Drosophila melanogaster: one gene and its partners. The protein of the gene in region 4 interacts with the protein of the main gene of each other region in a pairwise test. Each region holds a gene or a part of one and is shown on either strand. Other genes may lie near its edges.

Region 1 (6,585 bases), on a different chromosome or scaffold from region 4:
CTGGATACACCAAATCTAGAGGTGCGGATGTAGTAGTTTGAGGAGCCAATACTCAGATTAAGAGCCCGTTCCAAGGTGACCGGATCACTTACACTTGGTACGCATATGGCTGGGGGTTTGCTATATTTAGCGGATTGTCCACCACCATCTCGGGCAGCAGAGTCTTCAATGTCAGAATCAGCATCCGACACGTCTTGCTCCATATTCTCCGCTTCAGCAGACAAAAGCGCGAAGCGATTGTTATTTAATGCTGCTGCAGTGGAGGTAGAGGCCTCCTCATTGAGTGGCATAGTGGCCTGCCTTTTAGTTTTACGGCTTGGAGAAGGGGTGAGGATAGGTAATGGGGGCTGAGACACGCCTTTTCGTTTCCTGTTGACAGTACGATCATGTGCTTGAAAGGGGCATTTCGCTTTAGATGGCTTATTGGGCAGTGATGACAGAGGTGTCGGCAGTCCATTGTCATAAGGCGTAGTTGGGCAAATGCTAGTGGTCACGGTTGTGCAATCAGTGTATGTAGGAGTACAGATCATGTTGGCCTGTACGTTAGAAATAGTGCAGGTAACACTTGCATTGGTGTTGCTGCTGATTGTCACCATTAAGCTGGAGACCGTAGATTGAGTTGGCATACCTTCCAGGTTAGGGGAAACAACTGCACAGCTGGCGCGGAGTTGGGAGCGTAATTCTCCTGGCTCAACACCTGCTACTTTCCTCATTTTCTCAAATTTATCGCACCCATTGCTAGGTCGCGATTGAGCAAATGAATTCTCCATTATATCAATTGTCTTTATACTTATGCCGTATAATGCAATTGATATTTACTAAACACGATAAGATTTACCGGTTTACTTGTAAGGTAAATTGTAACAACCTCCCGCTTGCGCAGCGCGCAGGGCGAGGGGCAAAAACAACACAGCTTAGAAATTGCTAGTTGCTGATAAGTTTCGCGAACCGAAGCCGTCACCGTTATGCAGTGACTAAAAATAGATTTTGTTTGTGAGATAAGCACACGATCTGCGCAAATGTTTGTGATGGATCACAATTACGTTTTTGTTTTATCCGCGACTTCTGTGAACACGTCCACTCGATTGCTCATCTCCCATATTTGCGGTAGGTCAGCGGGTCACTGAAAAGCGGGGGCGAAGTGGCTAAAGTGGATCAATTGGCTTGGGGGTGTCGCTTTAGCCCCGCGAATTCCCACGGGGCGGCAATTTTTAGTCAAATGGAATATATATTTGTTTTATTGTTTTTATCATCAAACTAGTGTTGAAGTTTTTTCATGCCATTTGTTGTTTTCAATTGCAATATTATCCCGTGTCGCACCAATACCATCACCCACTATGGCATCCTTTATTTTATACAAATACACGCTGTTCGTTTTTTCTTTAATATTAATTTCTATGTACATAAATTTAGTTGTTCGCGATGATGTTGGCGGCAACATTTTCGACAGGCTTCGTTGCATTTAAATGTCAAATGGTGGGCGTGGCTGGTGGGAAAGTTATGGAAACTTTTCTCTAGACCGCATAGATACTCTGGATGCACTATAGATTTAGCTGATTTGGTCAATTTTTGATTGGATTATATCTTGGGCTGTACATATATCATTCCTGTCTTCACCTCAATTGAAGAGCTATTTTAATTCGCTGTCATTTTATATGGCAAAGATTTTCCTTGGCAGCGTTTCATACCTACCTCCCATTAAGTTTTTTATAATTACCTTAATCCTTGTAAAGGGCACTTCCAGACTCGCACTGCCTAAGCCTTTTATAGCTTTCATTATTCCCGCTGGGTTTTTAAATGCTTAATTTATTTATGTATGTTGCCTTTTAAATTTATTTTGTTGCCGCCGCTGATAGTGCTGCTGTAGGTGGGTGGCGGTGGGTGTCACGACGGTTCGTCCTTGCCGCGCGGTGGACATGTGCATATTTCATGACAAAATTGCATATTTTAGCGCAAAGGCAAAGCCAAAAGCCAGCTACGTATCCATGGCCGCCGGTGAAGCTTTGGGTTTTTTTTTCGCAGGACTCCATCTCTTCCTCTTTTTGCCGCAGAGGCCCCCTTGCTGCCCCGCCCATCGACGGTGTAAATTTCAAGCCAAGTGTAACACCTTTTTCCTGTCATGATGATTTTAGAGGGTTTGGGTGGCGCTTGTGTCTCTTATTGTGTGTTTTTTTTTTCGCAATTTTCGTTTTTTGCCATTTGTTTTTTCGCTCAAATTTACATACATCATAGTCATTGCAGTTCAGGGCATTTTGATGGAAACAGTTAACTTTTTAAGCCGCAAATTGAAAGAAAATAAAATGTTAAAAAAACATCGCTTGTGCTCTTTGTGTTTCTCTGATTTTGTTGGTGGCGACTTTCAATTTTGCCCGCGACCAACAGAAGGCGGCATCCCCTGATTTTATTTGCGATTTTTTTTGCCCTTTTGTTTTCAGTGTTTGTTTAGTGAGATTGATTCGATTTGGGCAGCGCACGAACATTGAATCGCGACAGTAAATCTATGTTCACTCTCTAACTTTCAGATGTTATTGAAAAATTTTTATTCAACAACCATTGGAAAGGAACTAAGTTAATGTATTTTTTATTCGGCAATTTCCCTGTTAAATCATTTAATTCGAATAACGCTCAATCAAGTGCATCAGTTCAGTCCGGGCCTTAAAGACGTCCGCATACAGCTCTCCATTGACACCACCATCGGAGCAGTGTTGCCCGTAAATGTCCACTCCGCACAACCGATCCTGGTGGAGGAGGACATCCCCCTTTGCCGTCTGGCAGTCCACCAATCGGTTTGAATTAAGGGCGCACAACATGGTCTGCGTGATGAAGGCGTTCTCATCCTGGGCATAGCTCCTTTTGCAATTGCTATTGGGAATGAGTTTGGTGCGCAGGAAACGCAGATGTTGCTGTGACATGTACATGGTTACATTGTCATTCCTTCGGAGAGGTGACTCGCAGAGATCAATCGGATGGACGAAGGGATCCTCCAGTGGAGCGTGGAGCAGTAATAGGGCCATGTCCTCAATAGCGCCGGTAATTAGATTGGCCACCGAATATATCCGACTCCGACTAGCCTGCAGTTTGTACGAACGAGGTGGAGGTTGACGCAGAGTCCTGGGAAAACAGAGGGCGGAGGTTAAAACCAGACGAGTGGAGATTAGAGCACCACTGCAAATGACTTTGTTTTCATAAAGGATTCGCATAACGAAATGCTTCACTGCCTTTGGTGCCTCTGTTGTGGCTTGTCCATCGGTAAGGAGAGTCTCGATTTCAGCGGGAATTATCTCTAGGCTGTTGGGTTCTTTGTTGCCTCCGCTTGAGAATCTAGCGGAAATTTTCGGTGATCTCTGGTAGGGATAGGGCACTATATACTCAATAACACGAACTATCTGATAGGGCTGTCCATTGCTGGGTATTTCACCCACATTAAACTGCGGAGCGGTCTCAGAAGATCCGTAAACTGATCCTCGGGAGACTGCTAATATTATGACTAGCTGACTAAGCTGCATTATGACATTTCAACCGATTCAGTCTCAAATCACAACAATTAGGTTTCTTTCCCCGTAACTGATTTAAATTCTTCACTTAAACCATTAAGTTTCCGGATCAAATCGCCGATCATGGGCTGCAGTTTGCCTAGACTTATGTAGAGATCACCATTGAGTGCATTTTGAAAACAGCGAAATCCATAAACGTTTAAGCCACATAATTGATGGTCTATAAGTAGGACATCACCTGGAGAAGTTGCACACATTTCCGGATTCATTGAGTTCTTTGCACACAGCATACTGGGAGTTATAAAAACTGAATCCTCTTCCAGGAATGTTGTCTTGCAGGCACGATTTGAGATTATTTCAGTTCTTCGACGGCCGTAATATCTGAGATCCGAAGTGGCCATCATCATTGATACTCTTGTGCCCAATGGTACGTCATATTGGCATAGGGCAATTGGATTGATTTCAGACGGCCTCTTCAAGTGAAGAATGCTAAGCTCAGGACAGAAATCCGCTTTGACTACATTATCCACAGCGATAGTTCTTCCGCCGGTGAAGATAATTTGCAGCGGTTTGAAAGAGTCGTTTGAAAAGCACTTACTGGAGGTGATGGCCAAACTGGGAGCCACCAAGGCCGCACTGCATCGTACCGCATTTCCCACCTTTATCTTCGCAATAAAGCTGAATTGCAAGTGGCTCATCCCGATCTCATTTTGATATTCCAGTTCCTGCCTTCTGATTGGCTTGTATTTGTTGATGATTCTAACTATTTGACGGTTTTCTGACAACTGATGGTTGCCTCTTCCGCCACTAGGATATATCACATTCACACGACAATCCTTGCAGAGTTGAGCTCCAATCGCCGCTTCGCAAAGCTGACAAAACCAAAGCGCTGAAACACAAACAAGCAGCGAATGCATCTCCAATCGACTGATAACCAGCAGATGACTTTTATTTATGGGCGAATGGAATTCGAGGCGCCTGTCAAAGCAACAAACGTCGCTTCGATCCACATGGCGTATGCGTAATCAAAATGTTTTGCCTGCTAAATGGCAAACATAAACAGTTGACGGCTGTCAGTTGTTGGCAGTTGTTGCGTGTTGACAACGTGTCAGGTCTAATGACCAAACAAAGGTAGGGCACACAAACATTTGAAGTGCAACTCGATATCCTTTTGGCTCTCCGGCTGGGGGTTTAAGAATGATAAGTAATATTACCTCATCGTTTAGCTTTAAAAATGTTTTTAAATCAAATCAAGTGACTATATTTTAGAGATTATCTAAAGGATATTTTAAAATGTGTTAGGTAAATGAAATGAAAGAATAAAAATATTGTAGAAATTAAGGATAATAGCAAACTATCAACCATTGAATTCGAATTCGCGATGTGGGCGTCTTTCGTGGAAATCGAAAATTGTTTTTGTGCATTTCAGCAAATTAAGAAAAATGGCAGCAGCTTCGGCTGGACCTCTGCTCATTTACTGAATTTATGGGCGGCGCTTAAACTGAATTGACAATCAATAGTCCCTCGAAGGACGAGGCTGGAGGACACGCAGGATAGCAGAGCTCATAAACAATGCGGCCAATTTACATGCCCAGGGATCGACCGCATGTGTGTGTCTATCCCAGTGTGTTCCACCATGAAAAGGACCTTGTGTTGCTTTTATTGTTATCGTTGGAAATGAAAAATTGTCCCTTTGTTGCATATAAAAACAATGGGCCAAAGAACTTGAAATCAATTTCAAACGTTTTAGGCAAAGCCAATTGATTTATTTGTTGTGCGTCTTTCTTTCTCCGCTTTTGTGCTAGTGATTGTGTTGGTGGGTGGTTTTCGAGCCCATTGTTTTGCATTACTTTCGCCTTGAATAAAGCCCTGGGAGCTTTACTTTACCAGGTCCTTGAAATGTGGCACCGTTTCCCAACTTAAAGCTCAAACAATTAACACCGAGTGCCGAAAGTCAAGGGCTTCGTGCGCTGTTTTTCGCTTTACACTTGATAAACTTTTTATTACTTCCAAACAATTTAAAATCGAGAGCGAGTGGTTGGTTGGTTGGTAGCTGCCTGAATTACAATAATGCTCCGCTTGGGTTCGGTTTGTTGATGGCTTCGGCCAATTGGCAAGACAAACGGCTGCAGCTGCTTGCGAGGAACTGGAGTGAGGCTATGACAGCATTCGAATTCGAATTGGTAATTGAATAAAAACAACGAGTGCGAGTAGTGAGCTGGCCAAACAAGTCCCAGATGGATCTGGAAAAACGCTGTCTTTAAGACACTGGCTTACGTAGATCCCAGGCTCTTGTTATTCCTAGTGCACAGGAAACAAATGTATATTTTTCTTTTTGGTTTTTTATGACACTACTGGGAGGAAACATTGAGGCTCCAAGCACGACGATTTTTGCCGGTAGTCAGCGTGCCTCACGGAATGATCTTATTTCCGTTCCAAGCTTGAGATAACCACTAAAAGATTAAATATTATATATATTATATTTGGCTTACCTTGTCTTAAACTTCTTATCATTAATTTTTTCCAGTGTCTGATTGCACGGTTCCTGACACATATCGCAATGCAATGGAGCATGAAATAAATGAGAGGCCGCCGCTTGGATGCGACTCGAGAAGTAGTCCTTCCGGCGATTTCCTTCAACCAAAACAAAATGCCCCGCCAAGCCAAGGCACCACCCTCGATGTCACTGATGGTCTTTGGACATTTTACGCCTTTTACACAGTTGACTGCATAAATTCATGGCCGGGATATGGTTACGCATTTTAAACAACACTCTTCGGCTAAATCCGGAATCGAGTCAAGTGATTCCTGCAGATGGGTTGCGGTGGCACGAAATGGACCTTTGTTTCTTCGAAATAAGAAGGAACTTGGCAAACATCAACATAGCTTGGCAGCAAACGGCGTGGACTACAAATAGCTGCAGCAGCTTAAAGCTGATTTAACAAAGTTGGCTCTATCATCTGTCGCACTTGTTGCCCCACTGCTCGGGACCAAGAACAAGTTTTCTTTTGGCCCCCGAGCATTGCTCATTATTGCGAAATGTTCGGGGCTAAGCTTTAGTTTCAAGTTTGATTTGTTTACACATGAGTTT
Region 2 (11,018 bases), on a different chromosome or scaffold from region 4:
CTATTATGTGAATGTTGCATTCGAATTTAATATAAACATCTGTTTTTGATGTGATAAGATGAGATTATTTCTTTTAAATTTTCTCCAAAAACTATGTTTAACAGTTGTCATTTTAGAGGGTTAAACTAGCATCCAATGCGAACAAGAATAATTTCTGCCTTAATTCTTTTTTTAAACTTTTTTTTTTTTGAGCCGGCGTTGGGGCGCAACACGTACGCCAAAAAAACAGAAAGCCAGGGGGAAAACAACAACTGGCGCACTCTCGCACATCACACACATACACATACGCACATCAATATAAATGGCGTTGCGGAAATCTGAAATGGCATCAAAACTGTGGAACTGCGGACCTTGAAAAGCGCGACAAGAAATACTAGAAACGCAGAAGCAGAAAACACAACATCACAAATTCGTGGAGCACAAGGCTTCCACTTCGAGACGACGAGACGAAACGATCTTGTCCAATATTCTCGGGTATCTCGAATAGCACACGTGTGTGCGTGTTCCCGCTCGACAACGATCCACCCATTTCGATTGGATCCCCCGCCCAAAAAGACAAATGAAACAGAAGCAAAATCTTGGGAGCGGACTTACAATTACAATACAGTGGGCACTAGCTAAGATGGCAATCAAATATAAAGTATTAAATATTTTCAATTATGTTTTAAGAACTCTTGATTATAGATATGTACATACATATCTACATATGTATGTAGTATTAAATTAAAGTATTAAATTTAAAGATTTAAAATCTATTATTTAAGTAGTAAAGTTTTTGTAAAGGTATTTCTACTGTTTTTTTTCACCTTTTTCGCGCGCGCGTTTAAATTACGCATTTTAATTTTCGGCAATTGAGTTTTGGAGCTACTTATGTAGATGTCATGTGGATCGTGGGTGTAATGTTAAAAGCTATTTGTGACGTCATTAGTCGTGTGTCTCCAATTTTCGTTCTTTATTTGTTTATTTGTTTGCAGGTGCAGCAGCAAATAGATTATAATTTATGTATTTGTAGCGGGCGCATGCTAAACTGCACACACTCTACACCTACATATGTACATACATATGTATGTATATACTACATGGTTGGAGACCCTGTTTTGGTGGTCATATGTTTGCAGTTGTTTTGTGTTGCTTTTGTTGTCCCTGGACCTGGTGTTACGTGACGGTCGGAAAGTCAGCAGACAGCCGATGCGCCGGTTGTTCTCGTTCCAAGCACACGTCCACCCCGAAACAAGTGACGTTTATGCATTACTGTGGCTAATATTATGAATAGGTATTATCGAGATATCAAATACGCATCTATCACAATAATAAAATAATAGAAGTAATATTTAACTTTAAAGGAACACAGACAAAAGCAGAACGTTCTAGCAGATAGTATGTATGTATGTATATGTATGTATAGATATGTTCCATTATCTTTATAAACGGATTATGTTCAATTTATCTCGAGTTCACCGCCGCATAATCCGCTTTGGAAACTTCCCGGCTGCTCACATGTTTTGGTTTTCCGTCTGTATTTTCAAGTTTTTGCCTCCGCAGAGTGCAGTGCACTCCGCTTGCCGCATTCGAAACGGTAAAGTGGGGGGCCTTCGATTTTTTTTATTTTGTACGTAAAGTGTTGCACTTCTTGCGGGGAACCAGTGCTTGCAAAACTATGGGGGATTTATGAAAGCATTGATCTTGATGGGCAGTAAAAACTATTAAAATGAACCAAGATTAAAGGGAATTAGTGGAGCTGATAATTCCCTTTAATTTTTGCCGGCCACTGATATATCCATTCCGAATCACTACCCCCTTATTAATTTTTTCGATGGTTTCTTTTTTGTTTTCGTTTCGATGCAATGTTTTTTGGGTCCAAGTCCACTGGCGCTTATTTGATCAAGACTATTATACAATCTTACACGTATGTACAGCTGTGTATGTATGGGTGTCCACAGTGAAGGTACTAGAAATAGTGCTCCGTTGCGAAGAATGATCAGCATAGTGCATTATGCTTTTGGACAATTTGGGTTATAAAAAATAGTTTAAGATACCTTTAATGGTGGTAAAATGCCAAGTGCTTGAAATTAATTGGTATGTAACTGAAAACGATCTTTTAATGTTATTAGTTTTAAAGTGTTGTAATGATCCTATAATATTTACCGCACACGTGTGGGTGTAAGCATGCGTTTTGCTGTGGAGCAATGAAGTAGAACAGCAACGGAAAAACAGAAACTATTAGTGCGTAGGTATTTGTGTTACTTCATTTGTATGTGTGTGCGTAGAGGGCACTTTTCGGGGAAGTGCGTAGCGAGGGGGGAAGGGTGTCTTGGGGCATATTGTATTGGACCGACAGTTTGTCACACGCAGCGACCTAAATACGCACATTTTATGATATTTTCATTTTGAGTTTTGGCTTTTGTTTTTGGATTCCTTCGTTTACGTTATCAATTGGAAAACTGTAGTCCGTGTATGTATATGTGTGTGTAATCCCATGTTTATGTAATGCATTTTCTTTGGGCTTTATTTTGAAAACGAATACAGTTCTCCATTTAAGCGAGGTTTGACAATCACTGGGTTTTGTGTTTGTTTTTGCTTCTTCTTGTGCTCCTGCTTCCTCTCCATTTTCTTCTTCAACCGGCTTACATGGTCTTGCCTTTGTGTTTGTACTTACATATATACAGCCAAGGGCGCAAAAATATGAACTAAAAAACTTAAATACTAATTCCTCCGCATCTCTTAAAGCTGGTTTTAACATTTGGGAACGCTCATATTCAAAAATATTCTTGCGACACATATGCATGTGTATATTAATGCAGCTCAAAGTTTGATTTCGTGAACATTTGAAAATGTAACTACTAATATTTTGGCTTCAATAGTGTGTACTGCCTGCTTGTGGTAACCATTCCAAGTAGCAGCTGTTCTCCCTGCTCCCTTCTTATGCTGTCCTCTCCCTCTTCATCACACAAAACCACACACACACACGCGCACTCCCGCTCACACACACTCAGAAAGACCGCTCTGCTTTTACAGGCGTCGACGTCGACTTCTTTTCTTTGCGCAGCGATGGTTTTCAAAACGAATTCGAACGCTTAAGCGAACGGTTGTGTTTACTCCCAAGCAAAGATATCCAAAAAAAAAAAAAACTGAAACCACAGAGAAATCAAAATAGAAATTAGCGGACTCAAAAACAAAGTGTAACAAAACAAAGCAGAAAAATAAAGGCAAACATTTTTTTGTGGTGCATCTTCGAAAAAACCGGTTGTTAAATGCGCGTTGCAATCGAAATAATAACAAGAGTTCAACAACAAAATCCCTAAAAAAAAGCAACGTTGCACATTTTCTCGAGTGCAGTTCAAACTGTAAGGAAAACGTAGCGAAAATTGAGGAAAAATTTAAGAAAACCGAGGTTAAAACTTGAGCGAAAAACAAAATGGCATTCTCCATCGTGAGCCGTGGTATTTTGCGCACTTCAAGAGAAATTCTGGAACGCAACATGGCCGCAACTGTCGGCGTTCTGCAGCAGAATGCCTCCCCGCCCCCAAACACGCCCATTTCGCACAGCGATTGTCACGTAAGTGCATCTTTTCTTTCAGTGCATTGTAGTTAAGGTTACTAATTGAATTGACAGAAACAAGCAGTTAGAAAAACTTAGCATCACAAAGCGGACAGGAAAGAGCAGTTCCTAAAACAAACTTAAAAGCAACAGTTATAAAATAAAGAGTTTAAAACCAGTTCCACAAAAGATGTTCCAACCAAAAAGCAGTTCCGCATGATATAAACTCAAAACAAAGCAGAAAAATAGAATCGCAATTCGAAAAACAGTAAGTGGTGGAAGGAGAACTGTAAATAGTGAGGAAGAGGGGTGAATACAGACAAGCAAGGGAAGTGGAGAATGAAAATTGGGAGCGGGAATGTTCACGAAACGAGGCCAGTGCTAAGTAAACTGTAGCAGTGCATTCGAAACTGTAAGAACTCGAGTTCAATTCTTGATTAATATTAATAGATATTCCCAACTATAATTCTAGCAATACAAGAGAGTTTGGGATTATTAATTCTCTAATTTTTATTAACTTTTCATTCCCGCATTATTAATTTATTGTTGTTAGCAGCAGCATTATATATTGCTGATTTTTGGTTTCAATTGATGATTAACTATAAAATACGTTTAGGTGCTGGCAAATTTCTTGCACATCAATCATTAAAGGGCGCAGCACTTCAATCAATCAATAAGAAATTGAAAACCCGGCGCCGAAAGAGGCATATCCCTCAATGAAACAAATAAAACAAGATACAGTAAGATAAACAAGTGGAAATTACACACAAAGAAATGTTGGTATTGAATCAATAGATTCAACAAAATAGTTCAGTTAATATATAAACATGTTTCATCTTACTCCTATGTTGTTAGCTTTAAAAATACCGTCCAATAGTATTTGCATAAAAGTTTCGGTTTTGAAACGAAATTTATGATATTATGTTGACACAACATACATTAATTTAACCAGCTAAGCCAATATTAATACTTACTGGTATTTTTCACCGTGTATTCAGGTGAAAGCTTGTTTTCCCTTCTCACCGACAACAACCCCCTCATTTTGAAAGTCGGAAAACTGCGCAAATTCTGTAGCAGGAAAATCTTGCGCAAAAGCATTGGAAATTATAACAACAAAAGTACCCCACCTCCCTTTACTTTTTCTCTAACCGCCACGGAAAAAGAAGTTTTAGAATCACAGGAAATGATTAAAGTGATTTTATTCGCAATTTTTCTACTTCTTGTTTGCTGCTAAATTAACATTGACCTGTTGCTCGACTTTGATTTTTATTTGCCGTCTTCTTACTCTCTGCATCTTCCACATATAAATCATTGGCATTGTTTTTTGTTTAATTTTCTTATGGTCGAAACGTGTTTCTCTTTATTTTCGAGACGCGCAGACATTCAAATGAAAGGAGGCCCGTTTTTTGCATTCATTAATTCGTATTTTGGAGAAACTTGTTTACGAAAAAAAAAACACCGAAAAACAGAAACAATCCAAAGTTCGTTTAACCAAACGAAGCAACTGGAACCGAAAAAAGGTCCCAAAGCAGTCAGTCCAATACAATAAGTGTGCGGGCTTTATGATAATGTTATATGGTATGATGCATGATATCATCGTCGTCGGTGGCTGGCAACATCTGTACTTGGATTCTTTCTTATCGAGAGCCATTGAAATTCAAAACGTTTACAAGAGAATTCGGTTTCTTGTAATTAAAAGAGTAGCGAATTTTGTTTTTTATCTTTTCCTAATGGCACAGGTGATGGAAAAAACCTTTCTCCGAACTGGTTATTGGCATCAATATTTATCTTTTTTAATTTTCAAAGTTGCAATGTTGGCAGCAAAGGACATTGAATGTATTATATATGTGTAAAATACCGTGTCCTATATTTACATATATTTTATATATATTGGAAGCTATTTTCCTGCTGGTTTACAATTTCTTCTTTTAAATTCGTTACATACATGATCGCCACGTGGTTTTTTACCATTACCAAGCGCCTCTCAAACTGTAGACCGAGTTTTTTGAGATACATTTTGACAGTCACTCTTTGGCACTTTTAAGGCGAACCAAAGATGGAAAACTCGTAAAAAAAAACAGATAACGACGAATCAGGTTTAGAATTGTTTTGTGAGTAAACAGAACTGACCTTAACAATGAGAAAATAACACGCACAACAAAAACAACACAGGAAAACAGCAGTGCGCTGAGTTGTAATTAAAAACATAATGATTGCTTACACACCGAAGGGCGTCTAGCAACCATATCAACAACAAAAAGAGCATTCAGCATGGGGCTGTGAAAACCGAAATATACACAAAAACAATACAAAACAATAGCATAATGATTGCGTAACATTATTAATGACACGTTAGCATCTCTTTTTTTAAAGCACAATCAAAATGATTATTATGATAGAGAAACTTATCCAATACATTTTGCATTTTCACATTTTTCTAATTTCCTTTTTTTTTCTGATTTCAGCGCCTGGCATCTGGCGGCATTATCTGTGGACATGGAGCACATTCACTGCTTTGGCATCAAATGCCAACTGCCGTGGTCCAGGCTGTCCGTCAATATTCAAAGAAGGCCGGAGCGGCCAAATTGCGACGGGAGGTGGAAAGTGATAGCGATTCCGACTCGGATGATGAGTTCGAGCGTCGTCGCCAGAAAATGGATTCCAAGCGCAGCGAACGGGTGAGTGAACTGCTTGAGAAATGCATAATCCATTAAATAGATCCATAAAACACACGGTCCACGTGGCTGAGAAATTTCAATTGTGTTTGCTCGACAGGCCGAGAAACGTGTTTCGAAATTTGTTTATCGTGCTCAATGTCGTTTTTTGAACCTGCTCTACGGCATTTAAAAAATAGTCCAACATTGTAACCTGGTTAACAGTGGCCATTTAACAGTAGTAACTGGTTTGAGTGCAGACTGTTTTAAGATCAAAGCTTTGTTGTTTGGTTATTAATACGAAATCTTAGCTTTCTCAAAAAAAGCGAATTGAAGCTTAAAGCAGTTGCTTGTATCCTGACTATACTTGCCATCAAGCAGTTCCTTAAAGTCCTTTCAAAGCCTTTTGGTTAAAGCTTCTAAAAGCTCACAAGCAGTCGCTGCGCGTCTATGAGATAAGCTGATGTTAATAAAAGCATTTTAATAAGGACAGTCAAGTCCTGCAAAGCTTTCAAGCTTTTACTTTTCAAGTCCTTTTAAAGTTTGAAAAGAGCAAAAGGCTTGGTTGCAGAATTGCAATGAGCTTTAGAGTTTAAGAAGCTTTTAGCACGCCCTGTGAATGTTTTAAATCAAATATAATTAAAATTTAAAATAAAATCGCAAGGCAAACCAATTAATATGTATATTTTTCCTCATTTTTAGGGCGACTCAGCATTCTGGCGCCGCAAAATGCGTACTCTCCACCGCATTTTGGACGTTAATCACGACGGCGTCGTGTCCTTCGACGACTTTAGTTTGCTGGCCAAACGCTTTAGCGATCTGGGCCATTTGACCCCAGAGGTCGCTGCCGAATTCAACGATGTGATCAAGCATACTTGGGAAGAGCAGTTCGGGGAGATAACCCCATACAATCTGGTAACTGCCGAGCAGTTCCTCACCGATCTGCACCATCGTCTCAACGACAAGAAGATGGCCAAACGCATCGGTCGCTTCCTGCCCTACTTGTTTAAGGTTAGTTTCATTGTTAAGTTGCTATTATCGATAAACAGAAAAATAATTTTTCCGGTTTTTTTTTTCTTAGGCTGTGGACTTTGATCACACTGGCCATTTGGATCTCGAACAATACAAGCTCTTCTTCCGTTGTCTGGGACTGACCGAAGACGATGCTGCCGTTTCATTCGCTGTGATAGACAAGAACGGCGATGGCCAATTGTCGCTCAAGGAGTTTGTGCATTTGGGCCGTCAGTTCTTTTTAACCGAGGACGACTCGAAGATATCGAAAATGTTCTGGGGACCGCTGGTCGCTGATCATTGACGGGTTGCAGTCACTGCTGTAGATTACAATACAACCAAATCAACAATAACCCAACAAAAAAATCCTTACTACAATCAAGATTATCAGAACCATCAACACAACAACGTCCGATGCCATAACATCGGCAACAATAACACCAATGAGCCAATGCTACATTATACATTGAATACGACAACGATGTTGGCCAATAACAATTACAATAAGATAGTGGCCACTTCGTTGCCAACTCGCGTGCAGGCGGCAGGCGGCAGTTGGCTAAATCTACAGCATGTGGCGCCTCATAAATCGGGACCGTTAATAAACATTAGCAACACCACCACGATCGTTATAAGGAACATGAGCATTTACGATTATTTTCGGCAACACTTGTCCAGTTCGAAGCGCCAGCGCTCGACCTTTGAGCCCCATCCATCGCCCACTACGTATCCCGCCTCCAAGTTGCGCAAGCACAACTTTAGTAATTATCAAAAGGAACGGGAACGGGAAAGGGAAGACCGACAGAAAGATAATAATAATAATAATCATCGAACCAAGGGCAAACCATCATTAGATGACTACGATATAAGATTTTTTGTCTACCTTAACTCGCTAATAATATTCACAATGTCGTGCAGTCGTCAATCGGCCGCCGAGGGCGATGACCTCAAGCATTTCATTTGCGACCGGATCCGGAAATTCGATCGCCTACGACGAAAGGCAAGAAAACGCCGCAAGAGAAGGCCCAAAAAGCTGGTCGAGGATCAAATGCACCATTTATAAACTCTGAAAAGTGGAGCTACATACTATTCACGGTCACCCTATTTACCATATAATCGATTATTTTTTTTTTGTCTAGTTAAGAGTTATGTTTAACTGATATATTACACAATACAGCAAGCATGATATAACGGAATAAAAATGATTTTTAAATATACTATAAATAATACGAGCATATATTTTCAATTATTGGGTGATCAAGCGATCAAAAATGGTTTTCCTAAATCTTTGCGACTCTGTCCACTTATAGATTTTAGTTTATTATGTTTAAACTATTTCCCTAATTGCATATAGTGATTTGCTTATGATTATCCTGCTGCAGGTTTATATTTAATTCATATTCTCAATATTCAATGGAGAAAGGCAAACAGCAGACGCTACTTCCTTCTCATTTTATTTTTAAATGCATTTTTTTTAAATGTTCCCTCCCTTGGCATCTGCGGCCACATATCATTATGTAAGCGCCAGCGAAAAGGATTTGCGATATCAACTGAAAAGTGTTTAGCTGGATGTTGCGAGTCTACAAAAAATGTTACCTAAAATAGAAGACGGGTTGAGCTACTTTTCCAATACTCTACTCTACATTTTTAAAAGACTATACACTTTAATGAAATGCTAGGAATAAATATATATCTCCATCATATAAGTGGTGTGTCATATTTTGTTGTAACATATAGTATCAAAATCTAAGACATACCCTTTATTTTGATACAAAATGGCATACACCCAAAATTCTATAGATAGGGCATGAAAAAGAATTACGTTGTGGAAAAGGGCAAGAAAAACTTGTCGCGCGTAAATCTCTGCGATGGCAACCTCCCACAGCCGTCTAGGCTGGCTGACCAGAGCTCATTATGCGCATTTGTGCTGGACGGGATAGAATGGGGGTTCCAGAGGGCTTCCCCCGACATAAGGATGGTACGCCCGTTTCTTTCCTTTACTTCTAGTCCTTCGCACTAATTTTTTTTCCAGCTGCCCCGCAGCCTCTGTTTCCCCCCACCACCGCTCGTTTTTTATTCATTTGTAGCTAATAATTTTAATGCTATTCAAAATTATGTTGAAAAAAAAAAAATATATATATATATATATATATATTTATATTTAAGAAGGGAGGGCTGAGTGGGCGATGGAAGCCATGTGAAAGCATTTTTCGGGACCTCTCACACACACGAGCTGGCGCTTATAAATTGCATTTGTATCTAAAAGGACATTAATTTTGGTTGCACGTTAAAAAAAAACAGCTTTCTTTTTAATTTCTAAACACAAAACAGTGGTTTTAAAATCTAAGGAAGTTTTGTATACGAGTATTAATAATTACTGAAAGATTTGCCTTTGCAATGTTCGTTTTCTTTACTCAAGGAATGCAATCACATAGAACCCAACAAATTGAAAAACGAAATTATCCTTCCAGTGCATTTGTGAGCAAGCAGTGTCCTGCTTTCTGTCCCTTTTGCGCATTTCTTACTCGCTTCAATATTTTATAATTTAATTTTTTTCCTTGAATTTTTTTTTTTTTTTTTGGCTGTGCCACGCACATGACGACCATCGCTAATCCTTTTGCCTCACATATACTCTAGGAAAAAAATCACACACACTTGCACTGCTACATCTTTCATTATGTAAATGCACGCTTTACACATTTTTTTTTTTCAGATGCACTGTCCACTCTGGCAGACCAACCCACCACCCCCACCGCCCATTTTTTAACCATATTTTTTATTTCCCCAACTTGGGATTTGGCCGAGTGTGTGTTTGTGGTTCTATATGAATAAAATATATATCACATACTCACATGTAACTGGTTAAGTACATATGTAACCCGCCTTCGTCGACTCTTCTACTAATTTACATCTTTTACTCTCCTTCGCTTGATTTTTTTCGTGGTCCATCCTCTTCCGTCCTCTATTTGCCATTTCAACGTGTTTTATCGCGTTTTAAGAGCAGTTTTTAAAAATTAAAAGCACGTCCTAAGTCCACATTTGGTCAACAGCTGCTGTCCAAGATGGAAAAGCTACCATTGCTTTTCCTTCCTATTTCCCCCTTTTTTTATTTCATTTAAGTTACAGTCTACTGAAGCTTGATCTAATCTCTATATTATGTGAAATGATTTGCGTTCAATATTCCTTAGCTGAAAACTTTCGCAATACAAATCACATTTTTTCATAGACTATACGTAGCTTATGTCTTTCTAAATATTCACTGCAGGTATTGCCGTTTTAAACTCTTTGCTGCAGAATGCCTTTGCGGCTGGCATAAATTTCGCAGCTAATCATAGAAAAAAGAGACTCAACTGGCGGGGGGTTAAAGGACATATACTTATCCAACGGAGGCCATAAAAGTGCGCTAATGTTAACCCGTTGGCTCCTGTTTGAATTACAACACCGCCCACATTCCAAAAAACACATGCGATGGGGCGCTGCGAAGGCAGCGTTATGCTGTTGGCATGATAATTTAATTACAGCTCTGGGATTGGGTTTTGCGGCAATGGCGGCATCAATCTGGAGCTTAGACAAGACAATCTTCCACATGAGTATATGGCATCATCTTGGTCTTAACACCGTTTGGCCAACCTTACGAGTCAGATAAAAAAGGAACAAGCACACGGTGTACAACCGGAACCGAGAAAATCACTGACGGGGTGGGCGTTATGAAATTAATAATGGAAGACGAATGAATGCTCTTGTTGAATATATACGACAACTGGCGGAAATACATTTCGTAGTCACATAAGAAGAAGGTTGAGAATCTCATACGA
Region 3 (7,617 bases), on a different chromosome or scaffold from region 4:
GGTCCTTTTCATCTGACGGCCCCTTATCCTGCCCACCGTCTAGCTTCCTGTCCAAATTGCGATTCTTGGCATTCTGCAGTTCTTCTTGGTCGTAGGCCTCTATGCGCTTCTCCAGCATGTCAACCTCTAGCCACAATTGGGTGGCCGAGTTCCAGCGCGGCGGCGGGTCACCATTGATCTGGGCCAGCAGAATTTCAAGACGGTTACGATCCCACTGGTTGGCCTCTTCGCGGCGGTTGCTCACCACAGACTTCAGGTGGTTTATTTGCCGTTCTCCGGAGCTAGCGGTGATGACCCGATCGCTTGCGTCAGCGATTCGGTCGGCCACAGCCTGGCAAGACTTCTCATTTGGACCGGGGAGAAAATATGAGAATGTATCCGGACGCCGATTTATTGTTTCAGTTGCCAGTGGATTGATTGCCGGCATCAGATGGATGGCCAAGTACTGGGACGACAGTGGCTGCGAATCCAGCAGCTTGACCTTGTTCTCGACCTTTTTGCGCTTCGCCGGACCCTTAGCCAGGATATCGGTTTGGGTGCCAACCGAGCGGCAGTTGATGCGCTTAGTGAACTGCTCCACAGTCGCCACACTGCGTGATGCAATCCTCGAGATCCGTTTCCTTGGGGCCATAGCTGTGGTTATGACTATATGCAAACGTCTCTGAGAAAATAAGGTTAAAAGTAAGGTCACAACCTGATAGGGTTTGCTTTTAATATTTTTAATCTGTCAGTGGAAAAGAAAGGTGGAAACCCTACTAAGGCCAATCGGATAGGAACTTTTTCAATACATCACTCGTTAATTATATCAATATTTTATATATATTTTTCTTAACGCCTAACCTTTCAACGCAATGAAAACGGAAGTTTGAAAAAATATATGTACTCAACTTCCTATTGGCTGGGAAGCCCTCTTAACTGTCCAACGCTAAATTGTAGAGCTTCAATCAGCAGATACATACATACATACATATATGTATGTACAACACTTGCACCGATGAAAATCAAATAGAAAGCCTTTTTAAAAATTCGTTTTGGTATCCTTAAGTACATTTAAACATGTTGGTAAATGTAAACCTCTTATTTTACTTACATACTCTGTACATACCTGTGATGTTAAGATACAATATTATGATGTACGGATTCTTCACTTAATAAATAATAATTTAAAAAAAAACCTTACATACTCTTTTCCCATCACCTTTTTGCCGTGCATTGTATTCCAGTAGTTGCTGAGGAGATCTCCAGATTTATTTATTTGAACTCCTAATTTGAGGAATTTTATTTGGGTTGATCATTGATTAATAAGTCTATCATAAGCATGATCTGAAAATATATTTACATTCATATATTTTCTGATCATGCTTATGAACGAGAAAACTTGTAAATCTAACAAATTAAGCTGTCTGCCAATTTCACAGATAAATAACACCTGTTGAGAGCTCTTAGACTTCACACTATTACAATCAATCATTGATTTTTTTAGTTTCTTATACAAATAAATGTTATTGCACACACCATAGATACATATGTATGTGTAACGAGCGGGTTTTTGTCCAGAAATAATTTAACCATAACGAGATAGTCAATAACTAAACGGTATGATATCGATGCGAATAGAAGAGAAAAAAAGTTTGAAAATGCACGCAATAAGCAAAGCACGCGAAGTTTGTGAAAGCAATTGTAATTTCATAATGTTACTCAATTTTTGAGTACAAGGCCTCCAGCTACTGATCGGGTTTAAAATACATTTGTGTGCGCTATAAAATACAAAAAACAAAAACAGTTTGAGCACAACCCCTCAATTATTTAACTATCTGATACCCTAGTATCAGAATATGCGTAGCAAGACAAGGGAGAACGCTATGAATGAGTTCTCCGACTATCAGAAGATACACGTTAGTGGTTGGTTGGTTTTGGTATGTATTTATTCCTTATGCACCAAGACTATTACTTAGTAAAATCCGTATTCCCCATATTAAGCAAAACAAGAGTGTATGATATAATCGAGTTCCCCGACTATTAGATACTCATCGTTACTCAGCTAGTGGAAATGCGAATGGGAAATTTCATAATTTTTCTCGGATATCGATAGATATTGGGAAATAATATAATATTGGCAATTTAAAAGACTAATAATAATATGAAAAAGTATTAAAACATTTAGCAAACGTGTGGGCGTGACAGTTCTAGGCAGTTTGTGGGCGTTAGACTGGGCTTGGGAACATGGGCAACTGCACTGCGTCTACGTCTTTAGAATCTGTATGCTTCTTAACTTTCTTTTACCTTCTAGCTTTTATTGAAAAATAGATAGATTTCTGAGATCTCGACGTTCATACGGATGTCCGGCCGAACATGGATATATTGTATATTAGGAATATATATACAATATATGGTCGGAAACGCTTCCTTCTACCTGTTTCATAAGAATATTACTAAAAGGATATAACAAATTTAGTGCCGCTTTTAGGCATTTTGAATGTGCGCTTGTATGATTGAAACAGGGTTCATTCGACTTTTTAAATAAATAGAGTTTTATTTGGTTTTCATATCCATTAATTGTATAAAAACTAAAAAATTAGAAAATATAAATTCTTGATGAGGATCACAAGCGGAATCTTCCATCTGTCGATCAATATTAACTATAAGCTATATATGTACATATGTATATATGTATATACACTGTAAAAGCTAATGTGACACACACACAGCTCTAGTGTGTTTCAGAACGTCGTCTTGCCCACTATAACGCCCGCAAACTTCCCAAAATATCACACCATCGATAACCCAACAGAGTGTTGAATCTGTGCAATGATAAGTAAATTACAAGAACAATAAAGGATATATAGAAAAACTGAAATTTATGTGCCCAACAGGTCAATTTCAGTTGAGATAGTGGCGCCCTCTGTCGGGTATGCTTAATTTGTAAAAATCCCAATTATCGTATTTCAATAATTCGTTCTTAGCAACTCCTACATTTTTAATGGAATGGAAACCGCGCAACCGTTTCCCAGGTGAACCCCGTGCGACCGTCCACAGCAATCGAATGAATATTAGCCAAGGATAGCAGGGGGACACTGCGAGAAATTTCATATGGCAAGTGATAGTAACCTGTATTTGTTTAAGTATTAAAATAAAAAAACTAAAACCTATTTAAGTTAAAATTAATTTTATTTCGCTTTTATTTTCAGTTTCATGTATTGCTGTTTTTGAGAAATTTAGTACATATATCTTAATTCCTATTTTATGTAATATTTTCTTATTAAAATTCCGTTTAAAATTACCAACATTGTTGTTGACAATAATCTTAGTTTAATATTAATAATATATTTTAGAAATGGATCAATGTTTAGAGTTCGTTATCATATTTTCTCGCTATGCATTTTCCGTTACCTAGCAACCATCAATTTGGGATTCGGTGGCCCAAACAAAAGCTCCAACGACCACAACAAATGACGGTGTTGAAAATGCAATTGCCAGCGCAGCCGCAGCGATTGCAAGCAGCCAAAGAAAAACAGGTGAACTCGTTGGAAGCCAGGAATGTCCTTCAAGGATGTGCGAGGTGCGTACTGACTTCCTCCTCTTACTTCCTCCACCTAACACGACCAGACTGATACTCCACTTCCAGATCTGGGGGAACATCTTAAGCTGTTGGGGTTCCCGCGCGTGTTTCCCCTCCAATCCCTGGCCAATCAGCATGGCAGCCTGGCCAGTTTCCACATTGTTGCCGAGCTCCTTCAATGGCTAGCAGGACTAATAGAGCCAGGAGCCACTTTGCCCGGCGGCGTTGAATCGGAGGAGCAGCGGGTTCTTCTCGTCCGTTCGGCGACCGAGTTTTTTGTGACCAAGGCAGCCATTCGTATTAATCCCCGAAAACTGTATGCAGCCGCTGCGGTTACGGCGGCAGAGCTACAGAAGGTTACCCGACTCTTGACATCCCCAGGACAAAACGAAGCGGACAACGACGAAGAGGACCAAAGGGACCAGTACCGGAGCCTAAATCCCGTGGATATTGGCGATAAAATAGAGGAGTTGCGTAAGGCTCGAGAACTGGCCACAGACCTAACCCAGCGTGGCACAACCATATGCGAGATGCTTTCGAAGGAACTGCTCCACAAGGAATCGCTAATGTCCCAGGCCCAACGACCCCTGGAGCTGCTCAGCGTGGAGCGGACCCTGAAGAGCGCCATCCAAGCTAACCAAGTTCGCCTCCAATCGAGTAGAGCCCAACTGGAAGCAGCCAAGGTGGAGCTCAATGCTCTGGGATCAAAGCTGCAGCGCCGTCGGGCGGAGCTCGAGCGAACCCGCCAAAGACTGGAGGCACTGCATCGCATTCGACCAGCGCACATGGCCGAATTCGAGGACTGTGAGAAGGAGTTGCAGGAGCTATTCCAGCGCTACTTTCTCAGGCTGCATGTGCGCGATGCTCTAAAGTCCCAGCTGGACCTGCGTACTAAACGTGCCACACCTATCTCCTCACCCATTCTGCAAAAGCCCGCCGAGAACTCAATGCCCTTCATCCCGGAGGGACTCATCGAGGACGACGATGACGACGACGACGAGGACGATCTGGATGACGAGGATGAGGGCGATGATGGCGGCAAAGCACTTTCCCGTCTCGAAATGGTGGTCAATGGCAGGAGTGTCTTCGGCCTGGACTCAGAGATACCCGACATACGGGACGAGGACAAACTAATGCAACAAAACAACATGGTTTCCGCCCAGGGAAAACGTCCTGGTACCGCCACCTCCAGGATTAGACCCACAACGGGTAGAAGCAGGAAGGCAGTAGGAGGTAAGGAAGTTCTAATTTCACAAACTTATTTCCCTGCTCAAATAACGAAAATCCCAGGAAGAGGCACAGCCGGCCCGGATGGTGGTAATGATGCCAGGGCAGCCCGCGGCACCAGGAGAGGTGTTGCGACTGGAGGAGACGCCGATGGCACCCAGCTAAACGGCCGCAACGGACCCGGCAGCAGTATGCTCAACTCCCGGGACGAAGACAGCAGCTTCGGGAGCTCCGAAAGCGAACTGGATGTGGGTAAAATCATGGGCATGAGCGGAATGAGCGGAATGAGTGGCATGAGCGCTATCAGCGGGATAAGTGGGATGAGCAATATTGCCTTGGGAGCCGGCGATGATGATTGTAAGTCGTGTAGTTACGCCTTGAACTTATAACAAAACTTTACCTCATTCACCCCTAGTTGATCTGAACTCGATCGATGACATAAGCATTTCAAAGTTAACTGGCGAACTGCCACTTAGACCGAAGACCGCCAATAAAGCGGAGCATCACAGCGATGAGGATTTCTAGGGATAACTACAATATTTATATTTATTTGCTAATTTTATAAACTCAGCCAGAGGGCAGACAGGTTGTAAAAAGTAAATAAAATATTCCCATCAAGCAATTAAAAGATTTCTTTCCACGTCACAATCAAATACGTCACCGTCTCGCAAATAGACGGCCTTAGGGTTCCGGTTCCTGCAGTAACACGAATTGTCTGGCGATATGGTGACTAGTATGATGAGCAATCAAAGTGTAGTCAAAGATGGATTTCTGCATGTACATAGGTAAGTGGGACTGTGCAAGTCAAAGCATAGCCAGGATCCCTAACTAAGTACATCGTTATCTGTATGACTTTAGCTAATCTATTCCTCCAAGAAGCGAGATATAAATTAAATTTGCTTTTGTAGATACGTTATAATCAGTTAATTCAATGCTCGAATAATTGAAATAGTTTGCTTAATATATCTTTATTCGATTAATTTTAATGTGTCTTAAGAGCTATACGCATATGTAAGTACATTGATAGAGTAATGGATATAAAAGGGGTAATTTATCAGACAAAGCCCCACATAGATGGGATTTCGTTGTGGCTCCGTAAAAAAAATATATACAAAAGTCTGGGAAACTGGGAACTAGAGAGCGGATGCTTTTCCCGTCACATCACCACATCCCGGCAAACGATCTTCGTTTTGAAGGATGCCCTCTGACCGCCGTACAAGTCCGAGGAGGCAGACGACGAATAGTCGACGTGACTGCCCGCCTGTGACTGTTCTTGCCTGGCCAAAAAGCTATCAGCTATGGCTCGATCTAGACCCGTATACTGGAAATTGGGAGCACCGTCCAGGACATCCGCTTCCGATTTTCGGCGCTGCCGGCGATTGGCATCAGACTTTCCCGCCCGCCGCCGTCTTCGCTGCCCATTGATCTCCGCTGACTTTGTGCTCTTGTGAGTCCGGTATGTCCCGCTTAGGCTAGCCGGGTGGGCGTAGGTCACGGATCCGGGCCCAGGTCGCATGTAGGGAAGGGTCATTCCACGGTACTGCGCCGGCAGCGGGGGCACGGGAAGCAGAAGTCCAGCTCTGGCGCCCGGAGGCGGAGGTGGCAAGCGTGTGGGCGGTGGTGGTGCCATCTGAATATAGTTATTAGAACAAAAATTGTATTTAAAATTTCAGCAAAATTTATTTGTTAAAAATTCAATATTTCAAAGTAAACTTATCTTTTCTTTCTATGTAGGAAACGAATAAGAAACTTAAATAAAAACTTCAAATTGGGTTTAAACGCACCCGAAATATTCGGTTTCAACAGCCGGAGCTTGGTTCATATTTATATTAAAAATACATATTACTAGCTCATCACAAACTAGAGTACTAACTCACTGGATTTGGTATCTTAGGATTCAGCTTACCCCATTGCCAGCGGTGGAGGGAATGAGCATGATCTGCCGCGATGGAGGCGTCAGTTTGCGGACTGTTGGCGGCAGGCTTCCCATCTGGGTGGCATACATCCACATAGCCGCTAGCTTCTCGGTGTTCACCTGCACGAAATGAAGCTGGATTAGGATAGGTCCCACACTTAATCTAACAGCACCTTGACAACCTTTTCACTGCCATTCAGAGACATCGCCTTGATGTACTGGTCCACCTTCTGTTGGTCCAGAGCGATTCCCGAAGCATTCGACTTGATAATCACGTCGCGAAGCTCACTATGTTCCGACCTGCAATGAAGTAAATAAATTAGGTGATCCTTAGTTATAAGAGTTAATTGAGGTACATATTTAGCAATAAAACCATAGATTAGAGTTCGTAATTCAAAATGTGAGAAATCATGCTAAAATTGCACAAACTGATTTCTTTTATCTAAGGATTTCTAAGTTATAAGGATCGTTCTACCGAAACGATAAATATCCTTTGCGTCTAAATCAAACTCCCATTTATAGATTTTTTTTATTATATTAAAATGGGTATAAAAATGCAAACAACATTTACCATTTTTACAATATTACTGTATTTTTGTAAATGGCATAGCCATTTTTGGTATTTTTACTCTACAACCTTAGTATTTTAAGATCTCGCGTGCACGGCCACACTGCGCGCTAATCGATTTATTTTGTAAAAAAAAAAACACCATAAGTCCGGAAAGTTGTCGCCGATCAAAACTCGCTTATTTCCACAGCCCAGTGCACTTGATCGGAGACCGCACGTCGCCGTTAACATAAACCATCAACCCATATAGCGTATATAGCGTATTTCGAAAATCGAAGGGAATCAGGTGGAAGAAGGAGAAATACAACAACAAAGCAAGCTCGCCACGTCAGTGGGAGTGAGCGAGAG
Region 4 (6,810 bases):
GAGTTTACACTCAGCGATTATGGCGGCAGCAGCAGCAATGGCAGCACCACCAGTCCCAATGGCATCGGCCTGGATGGCGAACCCGTATACGAGTGCCGTCACTGCGGCAAGAAGTATCGCTGGAAGTCCACACTCCGGCGCCACGAGAATGTCGAGTGTGGCGGCAAGGAGCCATCGCATCAGTGTCCCTACTGCCCCTACAAGTCGAAACAGCGCGGCAATCTCGGTGTCCATGTGAGGAAGCACCACACCGATCTGCCCCAGCTGCCCAGCAAGAGGAGATCGAAGTACTCGATGAATCGCGAAAACGGGATGAGCGGCTCCATGTCCGATGACTCGCAGGGCAAGCTGATCATCGACTTCAATGGGAAGGGAGAGCTTGAAACCAAATAAATTTGTACGGGGACCGAGTGATGCTTCCATTTGATATACAATATATTTTACGTCTGGTGTCTTGTTTTGTCCATTGGATTTGTGGAAATTTATTTCTTGTCATTCATGTGTCATCCCAAATATTTAATGTTTACTTGTAGTAATTTATGTAATGTAAGCAAATGCAAGCCAATCTAATCAAGCATATAATCAAATTAGTCTTAAAGCCTTTTTTCTAACGATGCATTTATGCGTTAAAGCATCAGTTAATATCTCTTAAATTGTATAAAATGATCATTCACCAAATGTCAATTTTATACTTACGATTAAGTGTGCAAAATATTATCAAACAACACTCAAATATTTTCTAAGGTCTCTACTATTTAAGATATCACGATGTTGTCCAGAAAAAAAGTATTTAGAAAGGGTTCGCCTCGCCGTGTGCGTATTTCCAAAAAGTTCCCAGCATCTTGCCCAGAAACCCTCTGCCATCCAACGATCTCTTGACTTGGCTTGATTAAGCTACTAAGACCAAAACTTTTGGTAACTACTCGATAAGCTCAATCGATGCCATTTACAATGATATACATTATGACTGAATTAGTTAAGAGAATTGCATTGAACTGACAACTGAACAAACCATTAATTAACCAATTGAAAACCAACTATTCCTCGCCCTGAAGACATTCGTTTCATATATTTATGGACTTTAAGACTGAGTTTATTGTATCTTAAAAATTATTAACCCATGACCAAAAAAAAAACAAAAAAATTGGAACATTGTACGATTCCCAAACCAAAAACCAAACACTTATTATGCCTAAATGTTTTAACTGATATTAATGTTTGTATCTTACCATTAAGCTTGTGTGCCGTCACATTGAATCGCCCGATATTTTATGATTGTATACTTAATAAGATTATAATTCCTAACTGCATATCACGTGGTCTTCACCGATCGACGAAGACACGATTACGAACTGTGGGCAGTGTGACTGCTAAAATAAGACATGATTTTATAATGAACTTTTCATATACAATGTTTACATTTTAAATAAAACGCAGATATCTTTTAATTTTTAAAAATACGTGTGTATAGTTTATTATTAGGCGCAAGAGACTTTGTACTATGATTATTGAGTCGAACTGCGTTAACAAATACTTTTGAAATTTGATTCTGATACCAGGAGATTGCAATATGACTGTGGAGTGATTCATTTACATATTAAAAAGCTAACACCGTTGAAAATTTAAGAAAAATGCACCAGTCGCGAAATTTATGATCATCCACTGTTGGCTGTAGTGTGTGTGTGTGTGTGTGCAAGACTGTGGAGATGCATTCCCATGGAGCGGTTGCATTGAATCATTCTTTCAATACGAGCAGCCAATGGCCACGGTGAGGAAGTCCTCGAACCCAATGGTGATGGTTCCATTCTGCTGGGTGTCGCGCTGCCTGAAGGCCTCCGTGAAACGCTGCACCTGCACGCAGAGCACTATGAACTGATCCACGGACACCTCTTTGTGGCCCTGGGGGTCGCTCTTCTTCACCAGGAAGTTTATGAATTCGGGCGAGAATCGAAAGCCCATCTGGGTGAAGGCTGCCAACAAGTTTGGTAATTAGTGTAAAAGGCCATAAAGGAATTGGAGATTCAGTTGTTGTGTTAGCTTACCTTGGGTCAGCTCCTGTTCCTCGATATGTCCAGAGGAGTCCTGATCGTAGGTCTTGAAGACTTGCTGCAACAGTGATACAATGAGTCAGACTACTTAGTTTCGATATAAGAAATACCTTACCAGCCATTGGTTGATGTAGTTGTAGAGCTTCTCGAACTCATAGATATCGATGGTACCACTGGCGTCGTTGTCGAACATGCCTGTTGAGTAAATTAAAAAAGGCGATAAAAATACAACATAAATCGCAGGGTAAACAAACGGAAAAGTGTCTGGCGCTCCAGGTGATCTAAACAAATATGCATGTACCCTAAATTGGGGCAATAAATACAGTGAAACATTTATAGCCGAAAGTATAACTAAATTGATACTGACTGTCTGTTAGGGGAGTACTGACGTCACAGTTTCCGGAAGGGGAATCGAAGGAATTTTAAAGTATTTCATAACTGAAGCTTACTTAGCTATCATCAGCTCACAGGATGATCTAAATATATGTGCCCATGTGCCCTTCATTGGTTCTTGGCATACAGCGGGTGTGCTAGGCTACGCATAGAAGATTCAAATCGACAACCTGTTCTTGTGTTCTTGTGTTACTATATTGCCTACCAAACTAGTTTAGCTTATGATCGTCTTTTAGAGGGTCTACTGTATAGTATACAGTGTATACACGTTTGTTAGTGTTCACCTACTGACGTCACAGTTCCTGTAGAGGAAACTTTGGGATCTTTTTTGGGCAGGGCTTAAGCTTACTTATCATCAGCTTGCAGGCATTATCCGAGAAGTGATCGCCACGCCCATTCACCAGGGCCGCCTGCAACTCGGAAGCGTTTATCTTTCCAGATCGGTCGCGGTCCACCATGGAGAACCATTGCTGTGCCTGCGGAGACACCTGGGCATTCTGCGGCGGAAATGCTCCTGGCGGCGGGGCATAGCCACCACCGGGCTGGGCATACGGGTTATAGCCTTGTCCCTGTGGATAAACGGTAGTAAGTACATTTAATCCACTTTCTTAAGCATAAACACACTCACATAAGACATTTTGTCACGAGCCTAGTTCGATTCTAATTGGAACTTGAGGGACAAAACAATTTTAATGAAACTACAGATGACAAGAAGGGCGTTCACCAACACTGGTTTGGGCAAGCGATAACAATGTGACATATCGATAGCATTGCTAGACTTATTGCTTGGCTATACTCCCATCCCTATCGCCGGTATAAACAACTAACAAAAGCAGCAAAACATTAAGCAAAAATGTCGAACTTCGTGAACTTGGACATCTTCTCCAACTACCAAAAGTACATAGACAATGAACAGGAAGTCAGGGAGGTGAGTTGACGGTTAATATCCTAAAAACCACCATCTTAAACCATTGTTTTTAGAACATCCGCATTGTGGTGCGCGAAATCGAGCATTTGTCAAAGGAAGCGCAGATTAAACTGCAGATTATTCATAGCGATTTGAGCCAGAGTAAGTTCTGTACAATTTGGTAGCTTGTATGTTTTGTTCTAATATGACATTATACTTGAACAATAGTTAGTGCCGCCTGCGGCTTAGCCCGCAAACAGGTTGAGCTGTGTGCCCAAAAGTACCAGAAATTGGCCGAACTGGTGCCAGCTGGGCAGTACTACAGGTGAGTCAGATGGTGAAATCCGTGGTGTCTATTGTGGGTGTCGAATGCTCCGCCTTCTCCAGATACTCCGATCACTGGACCTTCATTACGCAGCGTTTGATCTTCATCATTGCCTTGGTTATTTACCTGGAGGCGGGCTTCTTGGTCACCCGCGAAACAGTGGCCGAAATGCTGGGATGTAAGCTAGATTTGGAAGGCTCTCTGGATACGAAATAATAGTTAATTACTCCACAGTGAAGATCAGCCAGTCTGAGGGCTTCCATCTGGATGTGGAGGACTATCTACTGGGCATACTGCAGTTGGCGTCGGAGCTCTCCCGATTCGCTACCAATTCCGTCACCATGGGCGACTACGAGCGTCCCCTGAATATCTCCCATTTTATTGGTGACCTGAACACGGGCTTCCGTCTGCTGAACCTGAAGAACGATGGCTTGCGAAAGCGCTTCGATGCCTTAAAGTATGATGTCAAGAAGATCGAGGAGGTCGTCTACGATGTCAGCATACGCGGTCTGTCCAGCAAGGAAAAGGACCAGCAGGAGGAGCCGGCTGTTCCTGCAACCGAATAGTTTACTTCGTACGTAGGATAAGGCGTTTATTAAAATGAAAAAGTTTCATTTAAACAAGCAAATATATTACATTCATTAAACAGAGTATCATTTTATTTTACTATTTAAATCAGGAATGCTCGTAGGAATCAAATGTAGCAGGATATATGTATGTAATCCTGTGTTAAAAATCTGAAATGTGTTTTTGTTTTTTTTCAGAACACATTTCTTTACATCTTAATAGGCACCATCTTATTTTAATGATCAGTTTACACAGAAGCGAAATAGTGCTTTGAACCATAACAAAAAAACATAAGTTTGTGCAACTTAAAGGTAATTAAAATGGCTGTGCGCGTTTTGATTAAATCATAACTAAGTATACATAGAGACAAGTGCAGAAGTTTGATGGCTTAACCCTTTTGAAACTTGTTTAGCCACCACCACTGGGCCGCAGTTGTTGTTGTTGCCCCGATCATATGGTGGATTTGTTGCTGCTCTTCTTTGGCCGCTGCTTCCGTTTCGCCTTTGCTTCTGCTTCTCAGGCGCAGTTTCAGTCTCTCTTTTGCCACCGCAACGCTTACAACGTTAACATTGCGCGCGCGTCTTTGCATTTTCTTGTTTGCTGCTTCGTCGTCCGTCGTCCTTCCCGTGTTGTTCTTATTGTTTTTTCCCGCTTTGTGCGCTCTTTATTGTTTCGCCCTTTCTAGCATTTTGATTTGAAAGTGGAGACTGCAATTGGTTACCATTTCAAGAAAGTAAGTCTGGCGGGCAGTTGGCCGTGTGAAAAGTCCGTTGGCCCAGAAACTCACCCGCTCTCTTGACCACGCCCCCTTTTCCGTCCCCGGCCCGAAAAAAAAGCTAAAAACTGAGAGACTCCAACCTGTTTGGCAATAATTGGGTCACAAATCTGGTAAAAACTTGTTGCCCGAAATGGTCACTAAACAAATAGCACTGTTTTTATTACAAAACTTTAGTTGAGTCTGCAGTTGCCTTGTTGTTGTTTGTTTGTTTTAATTTTTTTATTTCGTTCCGCAGACATAGTTGTTGTTTGGTGTTTTTCAAAACACGCTTTAATCGAAGCGGTTCAAAGTCCGAAACAAGTTTCCTGAGAGGCTTAACGGGGCACGCTCTCTCCTTGTTGCTCTTTCCCCTCTTCTTACAACGCACTGAGTGGGAGGAGAGCGAGAAATACTGAGAGAGCTTTCGACGTAAACATCTGAAAAGCAAAACCACAACAGACACCCACACACTGACGGGCAGGTGTTGCTCTCTGCGTCTCTCTTTCTTCCTACCCCCATTCCAACTTTCTTGCATTCTCATTTCGAAGGGAAAATGCCAAGGAAAAGCCCAGCCGCAAACCAACAACAAAAAGTCAATATAATAAACCCAGAATCCGAGTGCTAACTGTTATGGAAAGTAGCGAAACCATTAGCTATGGACCTCCTTCATTGAGTGTTTTGCTTGCATACCCGGCAATTAAAGACTTGCAGGGTATGTGTATTTTCAATACATCAAAAAACAAAAAATAATATATAGAATATATTTTAGTATCGAAAAAGATTTAAAAAAAATTGAAAAATTTTAAAATACGCCCTAATATTAGTTGTATTCCTCAAAGTCATATTTTTTTGAGTATCGTCTACTGTAAGTATTCAATTAGTAGTGGGTATGTCTTGAGACAAAATCATTTTAGTAAGTTTGCTTGTTTATTTCGCATGGTAATTACACGTTTATAGAACTATTAACCTGCATTGAATATGGTTGTCAAATAAAAATATTAGGTATACCTTGTTATGACCGCTTTTAACGACCACACTCAACCAATAGTGTGTTACGTTTTTAAGTGTCGCAGTACTTCAGAAATGTTCACAGCACTTTTAGTTCAATAACTCATGTGAATCCATGTAATAGTGGATATCTTGTAGTCGAGTATCTCAAAGATACCCCGCTCGCTTTATCAATTTTCGTTGCGCTGGCCGCGGCAGCTGTGAATGATTTGCAAGGGGTCCCAGCGCAACTGGTTCCCAGCGCCTTTGTGCTGCCCCTCGGAACCCGACCCTCCAGAGCCACCAATACCTCGATCGTACCGCTCTCGTTAGACATGCGTGGCTGGCTGCCTCTGTCGTTCGCAGTCGCCGCACATTTCAAGTTTGCTACGGTTCAAAGTCCAAACCCAAGATACAAATACCAGCACCAGCAGCACCATTTCGTTTTCATCGCAGTGGTTATTTTAAATCGAAATTCTCCAATCTGGGCACACTTTCGATGGGGGGGGGGGGGGGGTTACGAAGATCCCGGTCGTGCGATAAGCAGACGACATTTATGCCAGGTAGACACTTCCAACGCGTCACCGATTGCACTAGGTTATTCTGACAGCAATCACCTCTTATCGGAACCGCGTGCTCGAGCAATCCTTATCAGACCACCGAAATTGCGTACCACTGGAGTTCTCACAGGCCCCCCGCCACTGCGATTATTGGACTTTCAACAATAAATAGTGAGCGATAGGTTTTATCGCCTCCCTCAATTGTTGCTTATCCCCGCCACCTCATTGGCCCGTTTTCGGTTATAGAATCAGATCGTACATATGTA

The links.
Region 1: the proteins of trsn (region 4) and intr interact in a two-hybrid assay, tested with the Drosophila melanogaster proteins (one large-scale study listed by BioGRID).
Region 2: the proteins of trsn (region 4) and CBP interact in a two-hybrid assay, tested with the Drosophila melanogaster proteins (one large-scale study listed by BioGRID).
Region 3: the proteins of trsn (region 4) and Cluap1 interact in a two-hybrid assay, tested with the Drosophila melanogaster proteins (one large-scale study listed by BioGRID).

Annotation. Positions count from the first base shown.
Region 1 is NT_033777.3:28,787,443-28,794,027, reverse strand, and holds intr (intrepid), read right to left. Parts: upstream 3,507-6,585; coding exon 2,610-3,506; 3' UTR 2,567-2,609; downstream 1-2,566. Other genes in the region: CG34295 (uncharacterized protein), read right to left, coding at 3,545-4,411.
Region 2 is NC_004354.4:7,334,301-7,345,318, forward strand, and holds CBP (sarcoplasmic calcium-binding protein), read left to right. Parts: upstream 1-3,051; 5' UTR 3,052-3,415; coding exon 3,416-3,556; exon of another isoform or gene 3,557-3,950; intron 3,951-6,003; coding exon 6,004-6,216; intron 6,217-6,894; coding exon 6,895-7,203; intron 7,204-7,273; coding exon 7,274-7,507; coding exon of another isoform or gene 7,508-8,266; 3' UTR 8,267-8,431; downstream 8,432-11,018.
Region 3 is NC_004354.4:22,540,144-22,547,760, reverse strand, and holds Cluap1 (clusterin associated protein 1), read left to right. Parts: upstream 1-3,438; 5' UTR 3,439-3,537; coding exon 3,538-3,559; intron 3,560-3,625; coding exon 3,626-4,792; intron 4,793-4,849; coding exon 4,850-5,143; intron 5,144-5,201; coding exon 5,202-5,311; 3' UTR 5,312-5,375; downstream 5,376-7,617. Other genes in the region: CG17601 (uncharacterized protein), read right to left, coding at 1-631; CG17600 (uncharacterized protein), read right to left, coding at 5,943-6,416, 6,693-6,821, 6,875-7,001.
Region 4 is NT_033778.4:10,476,523-10,483,332, reverse strand, and holds trsn (translin), read left to right. Parts: upstream 1-3,221; 5' UTR 3,222-3,294; coding exon 3,295-3,369; intron 3,370-3,422; coding exon 3,423-3,510; intron 3,511-3,576; coding exon 3,577-3,673; intron 3,674-3,735; coding exon 3,736-3,851; intron 3,852-3,907; coding exon 3,908-4,239; 3' UTR 4,240-4,322; downstream 4,323-6,810. Other genes in the region: Pef (peflin), read right to left, coding at 1,744-1,970, 2,043-2,106, 2,164-2,243, 2,791-3,010, 3,070-3,078.